Pelodiscus sinensis: one gene and its partner. The protein of the gene in region 2 purifies or fractionates together with the protein of the main gene of each other region. This does not show direct contact. Links are inferred from orthologs where the notes say so. Each region holds a gene or a part of one and is shown on either strand. Other genes may lie near its edges. The genes, in order: TLE2 and CCT4.

Evidence for each region.
Region 1: the proteins of CCT4 (region 2) and TLE2 purify together in Homo sapiens (affinity purification with mass spectrometry; 3 studies listed by BioGRID and IntAct, with this or other methods). This does not show direct contact. The link is inferred for Pelodiscus sinensis from reciprocal best matches to the Homo sapiens genes CCT4 and TLE2.

What each region holds. Positions count from the first base shown.
Region 1 is NC_134729.1:15,421,799-15,429,805, reverse strand, and holds the start of TLE2 (transducin-like enhancer protein 2), read right to left. Parts: upstream 3,110-8,007; 5' UTR 2,641-3,109; coding exon 2,617-2,640; intron 2,436-2,616; coding exon 2,338-2,435; intron 1,786-2,337; coding exon 1,722-1,785; intron 252-1,721; exon of another isoform or gene 237-251; coding exon of another isoform or gene 216-236; intron 101-215; coding exon 56-100; intron 30-55; exon of another isoform or gene 1-29.
Region 2 is NC_134713.1:180,784,943-180,793,063, forward strand, and holds the start of CCT4 (T-complex protein 1 subunit delta), read right to left. Parts: upstream 3,234-8,121; 5' UTR 3,071-3,233; coding exon 2,950-3,070; intron 1,818-2,949; coding exon 1,765-1,817; intron 885-1,764; coding exon 795-884; intron 1-794. UniProt on the Homo sapiens protein: Component of the chaperonin-containing T-complex (TRiC), a molecular chaperone complex that assists the folding of actin, tubulin and other proteins upon ATP hydrolysis.

The DNA of each region.
Region 1 (8,007 bases), on a different chromosome or scaffold from region 2:
CACATTGCCTCCAAAATCCTTGCCTCCCAGCTGGTCAAGAGCCCACCTTGCTTACCTGCTTGTGCATTTCGATGTTCAGCCCATAGGACATTTCGTAGTACTGAAAGTAAACCAGAACACAACCGGTTAGAACTCCCCATTTGCCACTTGACAACCAATAGTTACCAGCCGGCCTCGGTAGCTATTCCACGTGGCTTCCACCCGTCCCGGCCAACCTGGCCCTGGTGTAACTCCATCAGCAGTCGATTGCAGAGACGGGTTTCGCTTTCCTCGGGATCGGGCCCAGATTTACTCTGCCTGTCAGAGGGGCACGCTCGTAATTCTATCTGGTTGTAGGGAATGGTGCGAGGCACTGGCCTCCTCCAGTTCTGAAAGGGTGGGAGGAGCCCACAGGACAAAAGCCCCCTCCCGCCCCCCAGAGGTGGGAGGGGCCACACAACCAGGATTCAGCTTAGTAGGGAGGACAAAACCAGGGCCAGGGGAGTGGTTCACCAGCCTTGGAGACTGAGGGTCTCTCCCTGGGCAGCCGTGGAACAAGCTCCAGGGGCATTGTTCCAGGAGGGGTGTTCAGACTCCGCAGCCCAGTCTAACCCGGGCCTATTCTGATGGGCCTGCCACAGCACCGGCTGCTGAGTGTCTGGAGAGGGTGCGTTAGGGATTCAAGACAGTAGCTCGGGATCTTTGATTGGCCCTGGGGGCGGAACACCCACGCGAAGGAGCAGTCAAAGAAACAAAAGGCGGCGAATTCACAGACTCCTAGAAGATATGGGTGGGAAGAGACCTCAGCAGGTCACCTCCCGCAACCGCCTGCTCAAAGTGTGACCATCCCCAAGGACTTCAAAGCTGGTCCCAGGAACTGACTCTTTTCTCCGGACGAAAGCTCCGTTTATTCTGCAGAACTCCTTACCACAAGAAGTCACAGAGGCCGAGAACTTGGTAGGATTTGGAAGGGGATCATACCCATAAGAAAGTAAAGCCAGAACGACAGTAAAAATTAAAAAACCAATGTGTATTCTGGAAGGAAAATAAACCCTTATGCTTCAGGGTATGCACAACCCCTAGCTTTTGAGGTCAGGAGGAAGTTTTCCCAGGAGGCAGCCTGTCCCAACACTGCATACCAGCCTCCTTCTGAAGCAGCTGGTAACATCCGAGACAAGATATTGAGCAGGAATGGGATGCCAGGTTTAATTCAGCATGGCAGTCCTGTGTCCCTATCCCCTTGCCAACCTCAGCCCTAACCCCACCAGACCCTTCCAGCAGGCGGCTTCCATTTGTCGGAATTATGGGATTCCATTTCCAGAGCCCCTGGCTGAGTCCATCTTGGAAGGACACCCGGCTGTTCTTTCTGAAATGACCCAGGGTTTGGGTTGGGATTTGGCTTCTGACGACCCCCATCTCCACCTGGACGTTAATAGTGCCGAGGCCAAATTAAAAAATGGCATCATTCCCAGGATCTCACCGCACCAGGGAAGCAGCAGCAGACGTGACAGCAGGAAGCGTTGCTAGGAATAGATATTAACTCCTTCCTGACCGATGCCCTTCCCCACCCCCAGCCCCAGGGAGAGCACCCAGAGGCACATCAGTGCTCCAGCTTTCAGCCAGGAGTGGTGGCCCTTGGGGGCCAGTTCCTAGGCTGAGTGGCTTGTTAGCTGACCCAGCGGGATGACCACTAGGCAAGAGGCCCCCTAGAGAGGTGCAGGGGCAGGTGGCGGGTCTCTTACCATGACATAATGTCTCTGCATCTCCGTCTTCTCACTCGCCAGCTTCTCACATTCCAGCTTCAAGCTGCAAGGGAACCGCCTTCTTTGGCAGCCTGCTCCACCTCCGCCCCCAGGGCCACTGGGCAGAGCTCCCCCCAGCCCCCCTACTGCGGGAGTCACTCCGTGCCACGCACGACCCCCCCCCAAGGGCTGCCACCACCGGCTCAGTCCTGGCACCTGGCTCCCTCGGCAGGACAGAAATGTAGCCCTCAGCCCCACTCCCCTCGGCTCCTCTCCCCTCCGCGCTAGGCACCTGTAACACCGAGTCTAGCCTGGCTGCTGCTTCCCCCGTTCCCTAGGACCCTGGGCACAGCTCGGTGCTCTCCTGACATCCCTCTGGCTCCTTGTGCAAACTACCTGCCCTTTCCCTGAGCTGTGACCCAAAAACCCTCCAGAGCCCCCCCACCCTGACAGGTGTGTGCCCAGCCATGCCTCATACTCCTGCCATACCTGTGACCCACAGAACACCCCCCATGTAAACCTAGACACCACTGCCTCAATCTCTCCTTTTACCTGGGATCCTAGACACCTGTCTGGCTGTGTCCCTCACCTGCCCCCCATACTCCCCGTCAGTCACCTGTGATACTGAGCCTGCAGGAACTGGAATTCTTCCTTAATCCGGTCGCAGATTTCCAAAATCGAGAACTTGAAGGGCTGCCCAGACTGAAGCGGAGTCTAGAGCGCAGAGCAGGGGGAGATCAGACACAACGCTGCTGCCACCCACCCCATCGCCAATGCACTGCCCTCCCCTCCCTTAGCTCACGGCCCAAGGACTGCCCCTGCCCCTGCCCCATGCCAGAATCCAGCCCAGCTCCTGGCTTTCCCCAGCCGGCCCGGAGCACAGGATGGTACTTACAGGGTGCCGTCCTTGTGGGTACATCCTGGGGGGCTTGCCCAAAACTGACGCCCACCGGAGGAGAGAGGCCACTCTCTTTTCCCTCCCCAGCCCCGCTTCTTTTTTAACTTCTCCAAAAGCCGCCGGTCCCCGGGAGATCAAGAGGGCGAGGAAATCTTGTCTCAGGGAGGGATGGCCGGATATTGGAATCTTCCTCGGATTTGTTTTTAAATAAAATTATTTATTGTTGTGGGTACGGCTCAGCCGGGGTGAAGAACATTTCCGTCGGGTGAAAGGGGCGCGAGGCTTCCTCCCCAGTGGGTCGTACTGGTCCGGGTTGCTTCAGCCCCCCCATCGGACACAGGGCTGGGGGAAATACAATCTGTCTTAAAGCGCCAAAGGGAAAAAAAAGAAAAGAAAAAGAACCAGCAGGAACAGAAGGTCAGTAGAAAATCTGGCCGGATTTCAACAGCGGTCCCTGGCTAGAATGAAAACTGCCTCCTGGCAAGGCAAAGGGAGAGTAGGGGAGTCTGTCGAACTGGATCCTTAAGGTGGCTCTTTCTCGGCAGGAGGTGGCACCAGGGGCTTTGCCCACGGCTCTGGGAGCCACACCAGGGATGCTTCCCACCCTCTAGAGGTGCCGGAGGGCAGCAAGGCCTGGGAGAGCGACCCCCCCCAGGCTAACTGAACTGAGGGAAGCAGCTGCTCCCACTTCCCTACCAGCACCCCCACATCCTGCTGGGCCGGGGAGGGTGGGTTGCAGCCGACTGGCCGACTCAGTCTCCAGGTTGCTTGGCCAAAATGGGGGGGGAGGGTCAACCGCCTCATTGACCTTTCATGTCCTAAGGGCTCTTCAGCTCCCATCTGGCTCTGCTCTATCCCTGCATGGCCCCCCTTCAAGTGTGGGGCTGGGCTGCATTCAGATAACAATGGGGACCCCCTAAATATTCCCCTCCCTCATGCCCTGGGCACACCCGCCGGTCTCAGGCCCCTTCCTTGTCCTTCCTCTGTGCCCCAACATTTTCTTCCTTCTCCTCTGCCCCCAGACTCTCCCCCCTGGAGTTCTCCCACCCTACTGACTGCTGGGATCTTCCATGGCCACAGGGACCCAGGCTGCCCCCCCGTAGAGCCCTGCATGGGTACAAATTTGTATCCACATCTGTATCTGCAAAAATGAGTCGCGGCACTCTGCATGCACATCTGCGGCTGCGGAGCCCCGTGCTATAAAGCGGATTTGCTGGACTCGACCCCTCCGCCAGTGCCTCAGACAGGTGGGCCCAGATCTGAAGGGGCCTGGGTGAAAGCCCCCTCCCCCAGACCCAAATGAAACCAACCTCAATAAGCATTGCCCTCTTGGGGCCCGCGGTGCCTCCATCTACTTGGGTTCGTTCTTCCTGGCCCTTTGGACAGCAGAGCTACACAGCCGCTTGGCGCTAGCCCCTGGCTTGACCCTGGGCACAGGGAGCAGCACGCACTGTGTGCTCTGCAATAAAGGCGTCATAAATCTATACTCATCAAATATATTCAGGGTTAGAATCTCTGTTTGACCCAGTGATCCAAGCCAGGCTACTGTGTTCCCCAGGCCCTGAGCTGCTGCCAGGACTGGTTTCCATGGAGAGAAAGGAGAAAAACTAGGAGCTGGTTTTGGTGGTAGGAAGGCACCTACCCCACTGATCCCATTCCTCCCAGCACCTCCTGCAGGGAGCAGACCAGCGCGGCTCCCCACATGGCTTTATAGCATGATTCATACAGAGCAAAGTTCTCCTCCACCCATCACATCTGCCCCATCTCTCCTACACCCATCATGTCTGCTCCCATCTCTCCTACACCCATCAGACCTGCCCCATCTCTCCTACACCCATCAGACCTGCCCCATCTCTCCTACACCCATCATGTCTGCTCCCAGCTCTCCTACACCCATCAGACCTGCCCCATCTCTCCTACACCCATCAGACCTGCCCCAGCTCTCCTACACCCATCATGTCTGCTCCCATCTCTCCTACACCCATCAGACCTGCCCCATCTCTCCTACACCCATCATGTCTGCTCCCAGCTCTCCTACACCCATCAGACCTGCCCCATCTCTCTTACACCCTTTTCTACAGCGCCTCCTGCTGGCAGGGTCAGAGCCAGGCCCAGCCAGCACTCCCGCCCCATTCCCTACAGCGCCTCCTGTTGGAACGGTTGGAAGAACAATGTCTCCCTGCGTTAGAGTGATTCCAACAGGAGAGTCCCCTGAAACCACAGCTGCTGATTATTAGGCCGGGAGGCAACAGTGCAGCCGGGTTTTCCCAGGCTCCCGAAAAACTGGGAAAGGCCTGATCATTCCTGAAGCAGAAGCTTCCAAAAGCCCCCCCCTCCCCCCAGGATCACCATTAATTATTATTATTATTATTACACCCGAGCCTTCATGCTGGTGCACAAACCAGCCCCTAGGTCCACCTTAAACAGCTTTGCAGCCTTTGCTACTGGGGACCAGCTTCCATTGGCTGCAGCTGGCTGGGCGCCCCAGCCAATCGGCCCCGCCAGTTCCCACATGGGTCTATGATGTCAAAGGCTTCAGAGGCTAATCAGGAGCCAGAGAAGCTGGAGGATAAACAGAAGTGAGCTTGGGGTAGGGGAGGGAATAGCTCGGGCAGGCTGGGATTTGTAGTCCACCCCACCCCCCAGCACCTGCCTCTTGGGGCAGCTCCCAGAGTTCCAGAGTTAGTTTATTGGCAGCCGTAGGCTGCACAGACTGGGGCTCTCAAGTCCCCCCTCCCGCTTTTTTCAAGCATCCTTCCCTACTCCGTTGTGAGTTGCTGTCACCGCCCAAGGCAGCATCCTGCTTAGACAGACTGGGGACCGGATCACTGCTTCCCAGCCTTTGGGCGAAGGCAGCGCGGACCACTCGCTCACCCCCAGGGCCTGGCGTAGGCCGACTTCGACTTCTCTATTGGGGGAGCTCCAGGCAAGCCAATGGGGCCGTGTGGGGAGCAGCAAATTCCACCCCATCAGGGGCTTGCATTTTTGCAGGGGCAGCAACATGCCTGTGCTCCCCCAAACTATGCCCCTGGGGCATGTGTATCCTTCTGGAGTAAGGCGGTGGGGGCAACTAGGAGCTTTTGGCTCATGCCTCAGCTTCCCTGGCTGCAAAAGGAGGAGAAGGATCCTGACCCTCTTTGTAAAGTGACGGGAGAGATGCAGCTGGAAAGTGCTAGATAAGAGCTAGGGATTATGATTTATTGACAGGGACCAGGGTCCTTAATCTCCTCCCTAGCTTGCCCCCTGACGGGCAGATCTTTGGGGTCAGGGCTGTCCTTGCTCCATGCCTGCACCAGCTGTCCTCCCCTCCTCCCCCTTGGCAAGCAAATTAATGCCCTGATCTTCAACCCCTGGCTGTTCCAGCCACCCCAAAGTGCAGAGCAACTACAAACTACATTGCCCACAAGCTCCTGCGCCTAGCTCCTCTGCCCTGTCAATCAAAGTAACGTGGGGCCCTGCTCCCTCCTCACCACCCCACCCGAAGTGGCTGGCTGGTATAATTACAGCACATTGATCTAACTGAGCAAGGCTTTCCTGCTGGCCATGAATCAGGCTTTCCAGAGAGGAGCACATATCTTTAACACAGCAGCACCTTCCATCACCATGGGGGCCTCGGCAGACACACACACGCCAGCTCCCTCAGCCCACAGCAGAGTGAGCCACAAACAGAGCTAGGGCCGCTCTTCCCCTCTGAGAGTGAACCCCAGCCAAGTTCTGCACCTTCCGCCCCAACGGCCCCAAAGACAGAGCCACCTTTGGGGGACGCCGTCGGAGCAGCAGGCTCCTGAGAACACTGCAAATTCCAGCCCCTGCTGCTGGGCCATCACAGCCCAAATTCCACTCAGCAGCAAAGCTTGTCCCATTTGCAGGGATGTTAAAGGTGTTATTTCCCTAGGAGGGTGGGGGAGCACTGGGCTGGGTTCCCTGGGGAGGGGGTGGAATCTCCATCCCTAGAGGTTTTTAAGCCCTGGCTTGACAAAGCCCTGGCTGGGATGATTGAGTTGGGATGGGTCCTGTTTTAGTAGGGACTTGGACTCGACCTCCTGAGGTCTCTCTCTTCCAGCCCTTTGATTCTATGATCCTCAAGTTGCTTGGCTCATAAGAACAGCGTCTCCCCCTCTGCCCAGCCCAGAAAATAAAAAAGTTCTTTCCTCTCAGCAAAATGCAGGACTATGTAGCACTTTAAAGACTAACAAGATGGTTTATTAGATGATGAGCTTTCGTGGGCCAGACCCACTTCCTCAGATCAGATCTGAGGAAGTGGGTCTGGCCCACGAAAGCTCATCATCTAATAAACCATCTTGTTAGTCTTTAAAGTGCTACATTGTCCTGCATTTTGCTTCAGCTACCCCAGACTAACACGGCTACATTTCTATCACTTTCCTCTCAGGATTGTGTAGCGTGCTATGGGCCAGCGTCTGTGCTACACCCCAGAGGTGGCTGTGTTTGTGTGGCTGCTGTAGTTGTGAAGCATGGTTGTTGGACAGTGGTGGCCCTTAGCAGTGCCAGTTTGATATCAGTGTTAGGAGGCAGCCAGAGGTCTCCTGAGTCCTCTTCTGGGCACTGCCACCAATTTGCTAATCTCCTTTGGTGTGTCCCTTTGCCTCAATTTCCCCAGCTGTGAAAAGAAGATAATATGGATGCACTGAGAGTGGCAGATGTGCTGCATGACGATTATTCACTGGGTTTCAGCAGGCCTTGTTTTTCCATCAAGGACAGAGACAAGGGTGTGAGGGGTAACCCTATGGAAACAAAAACCAAACAAACCCCAAAGTGCTAGAATTTTGGCCAAAAAATTCCAAAGGATGATTTCATTTGTTTTGCATGTTTCGCTGCAAACCTAAATGCTGCAATTAGGAAAATGGCTCCCGTAAGGCAGCAACTGCGTGGGACGTATTGTCGACACCGTCCCCCCAAACGCTCCTGACCACAGTAAATTCCCAGGATTTCAGGGTATTAACCACACTTGGCTTGGCACCCAGCTAATACGCAACAAACCTTTTACTGCCACTGCTAACCAACCGCGGAATTCCTGAGGATGGCTGTCCAATTAAAACTGTGTTCAGGGCTCAAAAGCGGGGCTGATACGGAAACGCACAGGGCTGTCAAAGCCCTGCCGCTCCCTGCTCCTCTCCGCCAGTTTCAGCTCTTGGAATAACAAAACTCCACTCTTCCCTAAAGCCCTTTGGCAGGGGAGCACTTGAATCAATTAAGCATTGCAGCACCCATGGGAGGCAGGGAAGGATTACTACTCTTCCTGGGTACATGAGGCAGTGAGTGAGTGAGGAGTAGAGCTCAGGACAGAACCCAAGAGGCCCCCATGTTCTAACCACTAGACAATTCTGCTTCCCTCCCAGAGCTAGAAATAAAATGAACCCAGGAGTCCTG
Region 2 (8,121 bases):
AGTGTGTCTCTCAAGGTATAACAGTAACCCATTGACATTATGAAGGGAATAACAGTGAGGGTGCCTATTTTACTGTCAGATAATCAGCATCTAAGCATCCTCCATAACATTTTCTGTGGCATTTTCTGTGGCAAACTTGTATTGCGTTACACTCAAACCATTACTTGAAGTTTGGATTTTCAGGCTCTCTCCCCCAGTCTATAGAAAAAACATCAAAGCCAGAACCCCAGTGCATCGCAGACTTGCTGTGCTGCAAAAATACACACACACACACACACACACACTCTCTCTCTCTCTCTCTCTCCCTCCCTCCCTCCTATGTAAATGCCCAGAATCAGTGATGGGCATGTGGTCCATCAGGGTTCTATGTGTGGGGCCCACAAGACACTTTGATTACACAGTTCATGTGCAAGGTTGCCAGATTTTGCGGGTTTCTGTCTGTGTATATTTTTTTACTTACTGTTATTACTTAAGTGGTATGCACATAAAGGGCATATGAACAGAAGTGTATACCACATGCACACAACATTGACTGTAAAAGCCATGCGCTCCTTCTGCATCCCATCAAAGTGCTGCTAGAGTTCAATCAGTACACCCCACAAATTCCAGGTATGCAAATGCAATTAGCACAACTATCCTAACCCAGCAGACCATCTTGGTTACAACAATCTTGCTGCTCACTGAGATGGAGAGCCTTTCATGAAGTCTATGTTGCCCATCACTTCTACCACTGCCTCCTTAAGAGTTCTCTGCAATCTAGGTTGGTTTACAGGTTGATATTAAAAGTAATTTACCATTTTAGCTGCAGGATGCAGAACCTGCATTTGTTTTAGAATAGTTGCTCCATCATTTGTAATTGTCACATCTCCTTTTCCATCTTGAATCTAAAATAGAAATTAAATACTATACATACTTATGACCTTAGTTACACAAGACATTTATTTAGCGGTTTTCAGGCATCTAAAAGGGTGTCACAGGGAGGAAGGGGGAAAATTGTTCTCTTTGGTCTCTGATGATAGGACAAGAAGCAATGGGCTTAAAGTGCAGCAAAGGAGGTTTAGGGTGGACTTAGGGAGGTTATGGAATTTCCATCAATGGAGGATATTTAAGAGCAGGTTAGATAGACATCTATCAGGGATGATCTAGATCAGTGTTTCCCAATTTTATTTGGCCACAGAATCCCAAGGCAGTGGTCCCCAATGTGATGCACATGGGCACCATGGCACCCGCTGAGGCATTTGTGCGCACCTGCTGAATCATCTGGGCCGTCCCCGGACGCGCAGGCGGCCCCGAAAGGTTGGGGACCACTGCCCTAGGGCTGCGTTTCATCAAGAGGGGAAAAAAAAAAAGCGCCCCGCTGCCATGATTCCCGCCATGGCTCTGTCTCTTTAAGAGGGGGTAGGGGAATGCCAGCTCTTCACCAGTTGGGATAGCACCATCTAGATCAGTGTTGGTCTGGCCATGAAGGCAGGAGATTGGACTTGATCTCTCAAAGTCCCTTCCAGTTCTAGTATTCTATGATTCTATGTTAAAGAGTCATAAACTACCCGATATTTCCTTTAAACCAAAGGGAATATTAGTACTAAAGTTTCAATGTATTATCTTTTCCAACAATAATCATGTGCACGTAACTAGAAGTTACACCTTTGTGATTAGCAAATTAAAAAACCCAAAAGAAAACTATTCTTATAAGAAAACTTTGAAATTTGTTTACGTATTTATAATATGTTTTTAAAATATTCAAGCACTTATCTCAAAGCTTACCATTTTATCCATTCCTTTTGGTCCAAGACTTGTTCTAATAGCATCAGCAACCGCTGAAGGAGGAGTAAAAATGAAATTATTTTATGCAATTAGTTACTAACATTCAACTTTACAAGTTTTTGTATATTTTATTAGCATCTAAATTAATACTGCAAGTCTGAACATAGTTTTTTCTGTATAGAAAAGGACAGAAAACTTTAAATGGCTCCCACACAAGTTTGTCTGCATCACTATTTAATAATCTTATCAAGGACAAATTTACTGATATAGCATAAAAAATTTTAAGAAAAATAAAGTGCATGGCTTTCATGGCTAATTCTAACACCAGGAATATGTTAAAGACAATCAATAGCTGATTATGTGAATGAAGTATTTTCAAATCCAATGAGGTATTAATGGTATTATAAGCCACACAGATTTAAAAATGCTGAGTGGTTTCACTGGTCTCATAGTGAATTTCAATTAAGGATGTAAAAAGTAAACCCTGTTACTTGGTAATTAGCCACACCCACGTTTACCTGGGAAACAGTTAACTGGTTGGAGCAGACCTGCCACCTGCAGCAGACTGTCTTAATCCCAATTAAAAAGTTAACCCTTTCACTATATAATTTTAAAGTGTTATTTACATTTCAAATTTCAATGCCTTCTGCCCCGGTAAAATGATCAGGCCTTATGACAACTGCCAATTACAGTCCCTTCCCCACCAGATTTTGGTCTTAGCACCATAACAGTTACTACATTAAAAAAAAAAACCTAGAAAAAATGGGGGGGGGGGGGAGGGTTTGCAGAGAACACTCTCTCCCCTGCAGACAAGGCCCATGCGGTGTTAGCTAAAAGGAAGAAACGTCTCCAGCAGCGGCTGTAGCTGATGCAGTGATGGAGCCTGGGGGGACGACTGTCTAGAATTCACCCTCCACGAAGGCGTCCGGCCCGCTGGTGGGGTGGGGTGGGGTGGGGGCAGGGTCTGTGTGTGTGATGGAGTCTTCACCCCCCACGACTATGGGACTGAAGGGAGGGGGGGTCACTGTAGGAAGAAGCCGCCGCCTCGCGCTTCCCCGCACAACGGCAGGAGGAACAGGACCGCGGGCGAGACAGAGGCCGCCACCGATCCCCCGACCCCCCCCCCCCTTCCGCCCTGACAGAGATTTTTTTTTCGGTCCCTTTCATCAGTCGGGCCGGGCGCACCTTTGCCGGCAGAGATGTTGCTGAAGCGGATTTGCGCCGGCTTGTCCCGGTCCTGGTAGGCGCTTCTTTTACGGCCTCCGTTGCCACCCGGGAGGGCTCTGGGCCCCGCGTTCTCCGGCATGTCGGTTCCCCGGCGCCTCGCTGCGTCTAAGTCCCGGATGGAGACGGATGAACCGGGCCGGCCCGCGCTAACGATCCCCGCCGCGAAGCTTCCAGAACGCACCGCCTCAGCCTGCGCCTCCCGGCCCGTCAGAGCCACCCGCAGGCGAAAGGGGAGGAACGAACTGACGCCGCGAGTGACGTCATTAGGGCCGCGCTCGCCGGCCGATAGGCCGGGGACAACGGTCTGCGCGAGGCGGGGCCGGCGCGGCCATCTTGCGAGGCGGGGCTTTGTCCGCTATGGGAAGTGCTGAGCGCGCGGGTGTCCTGAGCCGGCTGGCAGCGCGGCTCGTGCAGAGTGTGCGCGGCGGGAGGGGAATCTCTCAGGAGCGAACGGCCCGACTCCGATGGGTCCCTGAGCGGCTGGAACGGTCTGCGCGGAGTGCCCGGGGCGGGGCGGGAGGGATGAGCTGGGGGGCGGACCGGCCCGCTCTGAGGCGGTGCAAGTGCTCTCAGGCGCCCGCTCGCAGCGCCCCACTTTCCCGGGAGCAGCAGCAGCTTGGGGTGGGGTCTCGCCCCCAGGCTCGCTGAGCAGACTGCGGCTCTCTTGTCCGCGCAATGCTGCGCTCGCACCTTTCCCTAGCGTCGGCAGAGCTGGGCAGCGGTTCGATATCGTGTTGCCAACTTTTCCCAGGCCAGCGCTAAAAATTTCTCAAATCTGATGAAAAATTCCCATATTAATTGTATATGTTATAAAGGCTATTTTATGTATAGTTAATTCATTTGTTTTATATATATATATATATATAATTAACTCGAAATATATGACAATAATTTAGATGATTTTATGATGCTCTTTATAATTAAAAATATAATGTTATTAAAGCTGAACTTTTCATCCAAAAATAATTATTTTTATATATCCAAATATCCTTAATTACTTCATGGATGGTATTTCATAAAATGAAAGAATAATAAAACATTTTAATTATTTTACTCAAGGTAAAATCAGTACAGTATACACTTCAGAATACATTTCAGTTATATATGATAAATAAAGGAACACTTCAAATATAAAAGATTTTCGTTTCATATAAAATGAATAGAATATTTAATACATAATACTTAACTATCACGATGAGTTTTACTCATCAGATGAGTCATGACTCGACTCCTCACTAGAAATGTCATCACCATTAATATTTTTATCAGTCTGACTGCCAGTTTTTCTGGCATATCCATATTTGTACATACAGTAAAACTCCAATAGTCCGGCATCCAATTGTACGGCACTCCTGATAATCCGGCATCAAAATGGCAAGAGCCTAGTGAGTGAGCTTCAGCAGAAAACTCCTCAAGGAAGCAGCTGAACCGAGTGAAAAGGGTTAAAAAAACTAAAACATTACAGTATATTATATACAGTATGCACAATAAAAAGGGTTAAAACACTTTATATACAGTATATACTGTATACAGCAGTGGTCCCCAACGCAGTGCCCGCGGGCGCCATGGCGCCCGCCGAGGCATTTCTGTGTGCCCGCCGACAACCTGGGTCGGCCCATCCCCGGCGTGCGGCGCACTGGAGGCGCCGGCCCCAGGCGAGCGACACGCACCGGCACCTGGTGCGTGGCGCTCGGGCGGCTCCAGCCCCGGGGCACATCCGGGCCCACGGCACAAGGCGCTCGGGCGGCACCGGCCCTGGGGCACATGCCGGCGCCCAGTGCAAGGGCATCCCTACCCCTGGTGTGCCCCAGGATGCGCGGCTCCGCCCCCGGGCACCCAGCGCGAGTGGCCCCGCCCCCGGGCGCCAGGGAGCCTCTAAAGGTTGGGGACCACTGGTATACAGTGTCTGTGTGTGTGTGTGTGTGTGTATATATATATATATATATATTTAAAACCAGTTTATAGTACCGCCTGATAGTCCGGCATATCCAATAATCTGGCACCACCTTGGTCCCAAAGGTTCTGGATTATCGGAAGTCTACTGTATTTTTATTATGTAAATGTAAATGCTTATTTGTAATTACAAAACTAGAACATTTTTTTTTTTGCTTTAAAAGCTGATCTGACAATTACACTAGAATTAAGTGTTTTAGTTTTCATGTTACTCCTTTTCTTAGTTTTAATGTCTGTAACCATTGAAAAAATTCTCTCACATTCTGCATTTGAATGTGGCAATGCTAAAACCTTTTGAGCTGATTTATGAATGTTTGAAAACATAAATTTTCCAGAAAAATGTTTCATTTTAGAAATTTCATGCCACATTGCATCGATAGGCTTATTCTTTACACATTCAATTTGATTTGATTCTAAAGAAAATGACAAGGCTCTGAGTTCACATCTATCTTAAATATTGCACAAAGTTTTGAGATATCTTTTTTTTTCTTTATCTACATCAACATTAAGACAAATTTTAGGATCTATAAATCCAACCTCTGAGAAAACAACTGAGTCAAGTGGTAGCCTGTGCTACATTTCTTGACAACAAGTGATGTAATAATGCTGAATCACTTTTCTTACATTCAGAGCTACACTAGGATCAATACATTTTAAGTACTCCTCACACTCTGGACCAGTATATATTTCATTAATTTTGATAAAATTAGAGGGATGTGACATATTAACTTTTGTTAATTCACCTTTTAGGAAATGTGGTTTTAAGTAATTTGTTGCAATTACAGGCAGTCCCCGGGTTACATACAAGATAGGGACTGTAGGTTTGTTCTTAAGTTGAATTTGTATGTAAGTCGGAACTGGCGTCCAGATTCAGCCGCAGCTGAAACCAACCAGCGGCTGACGACAGGAAGCTCGAGGCAGAGTTGCTCTGCCCTGGGCTTCCTGGAGTCAGCCGCTGATCAGTTTCAACAGCGGCTGAATTTGGACGCCTGGGACAGAGCAGCTGGGGTGCTGCCGGGTAGGTCCCCGCAGCGCCGCACCTCAGCGCTGCGGGGACCAACCCAGCAGGACCCCAGCTGCTCTACCCCAGGTGTCCCCAAGTCAGCCGCTGCTGATACTGATCAGCGGCTGATTCCAGGAAGCCGGGGCAGAGCAACTCTGCCTCTGGCTTCCTGTAGTCAGCCGCTGGTCAGTTTCAGCAGCGGCTGACTTGGGGACGCCTGGGGCAGAGCAGCTGGGGTGCTGCCGGTTTGGTCCAGTAGCGCCGAGGAGCGGCGCTGCGGGACCAACCTGGCAGCACCCCAGCTGCTCTACCCTAGGCGTCGTCGGCAAGAAAAGCCTGGTCTTGCAGGGGGAGGTGCACTAGCTGCGCCCCCCCCAGCAGACCAGGGAGACGCGGGTAGCGGGACCGCCGAGACGCACCGCGGTCCCGCCCGCATCCTCCGCGGCTTTGCTCCGCGTCTCCCTGGTCTGCTGTGGGGGGGCTCCCTGTTTAACTATATACAACATGAGTGTGTCGAACAAAAAAGTCCAAAAGCAAGATAAATATATGATGCAATGTGTAATCCAGAATTTAAAGCCTACCTGCTATTTTTGAAATATGTTTTGGATTACATGAACAAATTCAATGCTCTCTTTCAAAGCAAATCTCCACTCATTCATTGCATTAAACCAGAGTCAGTGAAACTTTTCAAAGTACAGGCAGTCCCCGACTTATGTCGGATCCGACTTATGTCGGATCCACAGTTACGAACGGGGCTTTTCTCACCCCGGAGGACGGGAGCGGCGGGACGCCCAGATGCGCCGCGGTCCCGCCGCTCGCGTCCTCCGGGGCGAGAAAAGCTGCTCCGCGTCTCCCTGGTGTGCTGGTTTAGTGCAATGAATGAGTGGAGATTTGCTTTGAAAGAGAGCATTGAATTTGTTCATGTAATCCAAAACATATTTCAAAAATAGCAGGTAGGCTTTAAATTCTGGATTACACATTGCATCATAAATTTCTCTTGCTTTTGGACTTTTTTGATCGACACACTCAAGTTGTATACAGGCAGTCCCCGGGTTACGTACAAGATAGGGACTGTAGGTTTGTTCTTAAGCTAAATCTGTATGTAAGTCGGAACTGGAGTCCAGATTCAGCCGCTGCTGAAACTGACCGCCAGTTCTGACTGACATACAGATTCAACTTAAGAACCCCAAGTCAGTTGCTGCTGAAACTGATCAGCCGCTGATTCCAGGAAGCCCAGGGCAGAGCAACTGTGCCTCGGGCTTCCTGTAGTCAGCGCTGGTCAGTTTCAGCAGCGGCTGACTTGGGGACGCCTGGGGCAGAGCAGCTTGGGTGCTGCTGGGTTGCTCCAGTAGCGCCGCTCCTTGGCGCTACTGGACCAACCCAGCAGCACCCCAGCTGCTCTGCCCCAGGCGTCCTGATTCAGCCGCTGCTGAAACTGACCAGCAGCGGCTGAATCAGGACGCCTCGGGCAGAGCAGCTGGGGTGCTGCCGGGTTGGTCCAGTAGTGCCCAGAGCGACGCTGCGGGACCAACCGGCAGCGCCCCAGCTGCTCTGGCCCCAGGGTCCACAACAAAAGCCTGGTCTGCTGGGGGGGGGCACACTAGCTGCGCCCCCCCCCCCCCCCAGCAGACCAGGGACACGGGGAGCAAAGCCGCAGCGGCGGGGTTCCTCGCCTCTGAGGCTTTGCTCTGGCGCGGGACCCGCCGCTGCTGCGGCTTTGCTACCGGTGCCCCTGGTCTGTTGGAGACGGTCCCCAGCAGACCAGGGGCACCAGGAGCAGCTTTTCTTGCCCTGGAGGTCGAGGTGGCGGACCACTGCCTGCGAGCTCCGGGGCGAGAAAGCCCCGTTCGTAAGTGCGGATCCGACATAAGTCGGATCCGCGTAAGTCGGAGACTGCCTGTATAGTTAAACAGGGCATCCCACAACACTAATATTCTATATACACAAGAGTGTACAGCTAACCACCTTGTATAACTTGGTTTTAACATAGATAAACATACCTTTCATTATTAAGAACATACCTAGAAACAGCTCTACTATGTCAGACCAAAACTCCATTAGCACAGTATCCTGTCTTCTGATAGTGGCCAATACCAGGTGCCCCCAAAGGAAATGAAAAGAACAGATGATCATCAAGTGATCCCTCTCTCATTTCCCATTCCTAGCTTCTGGCA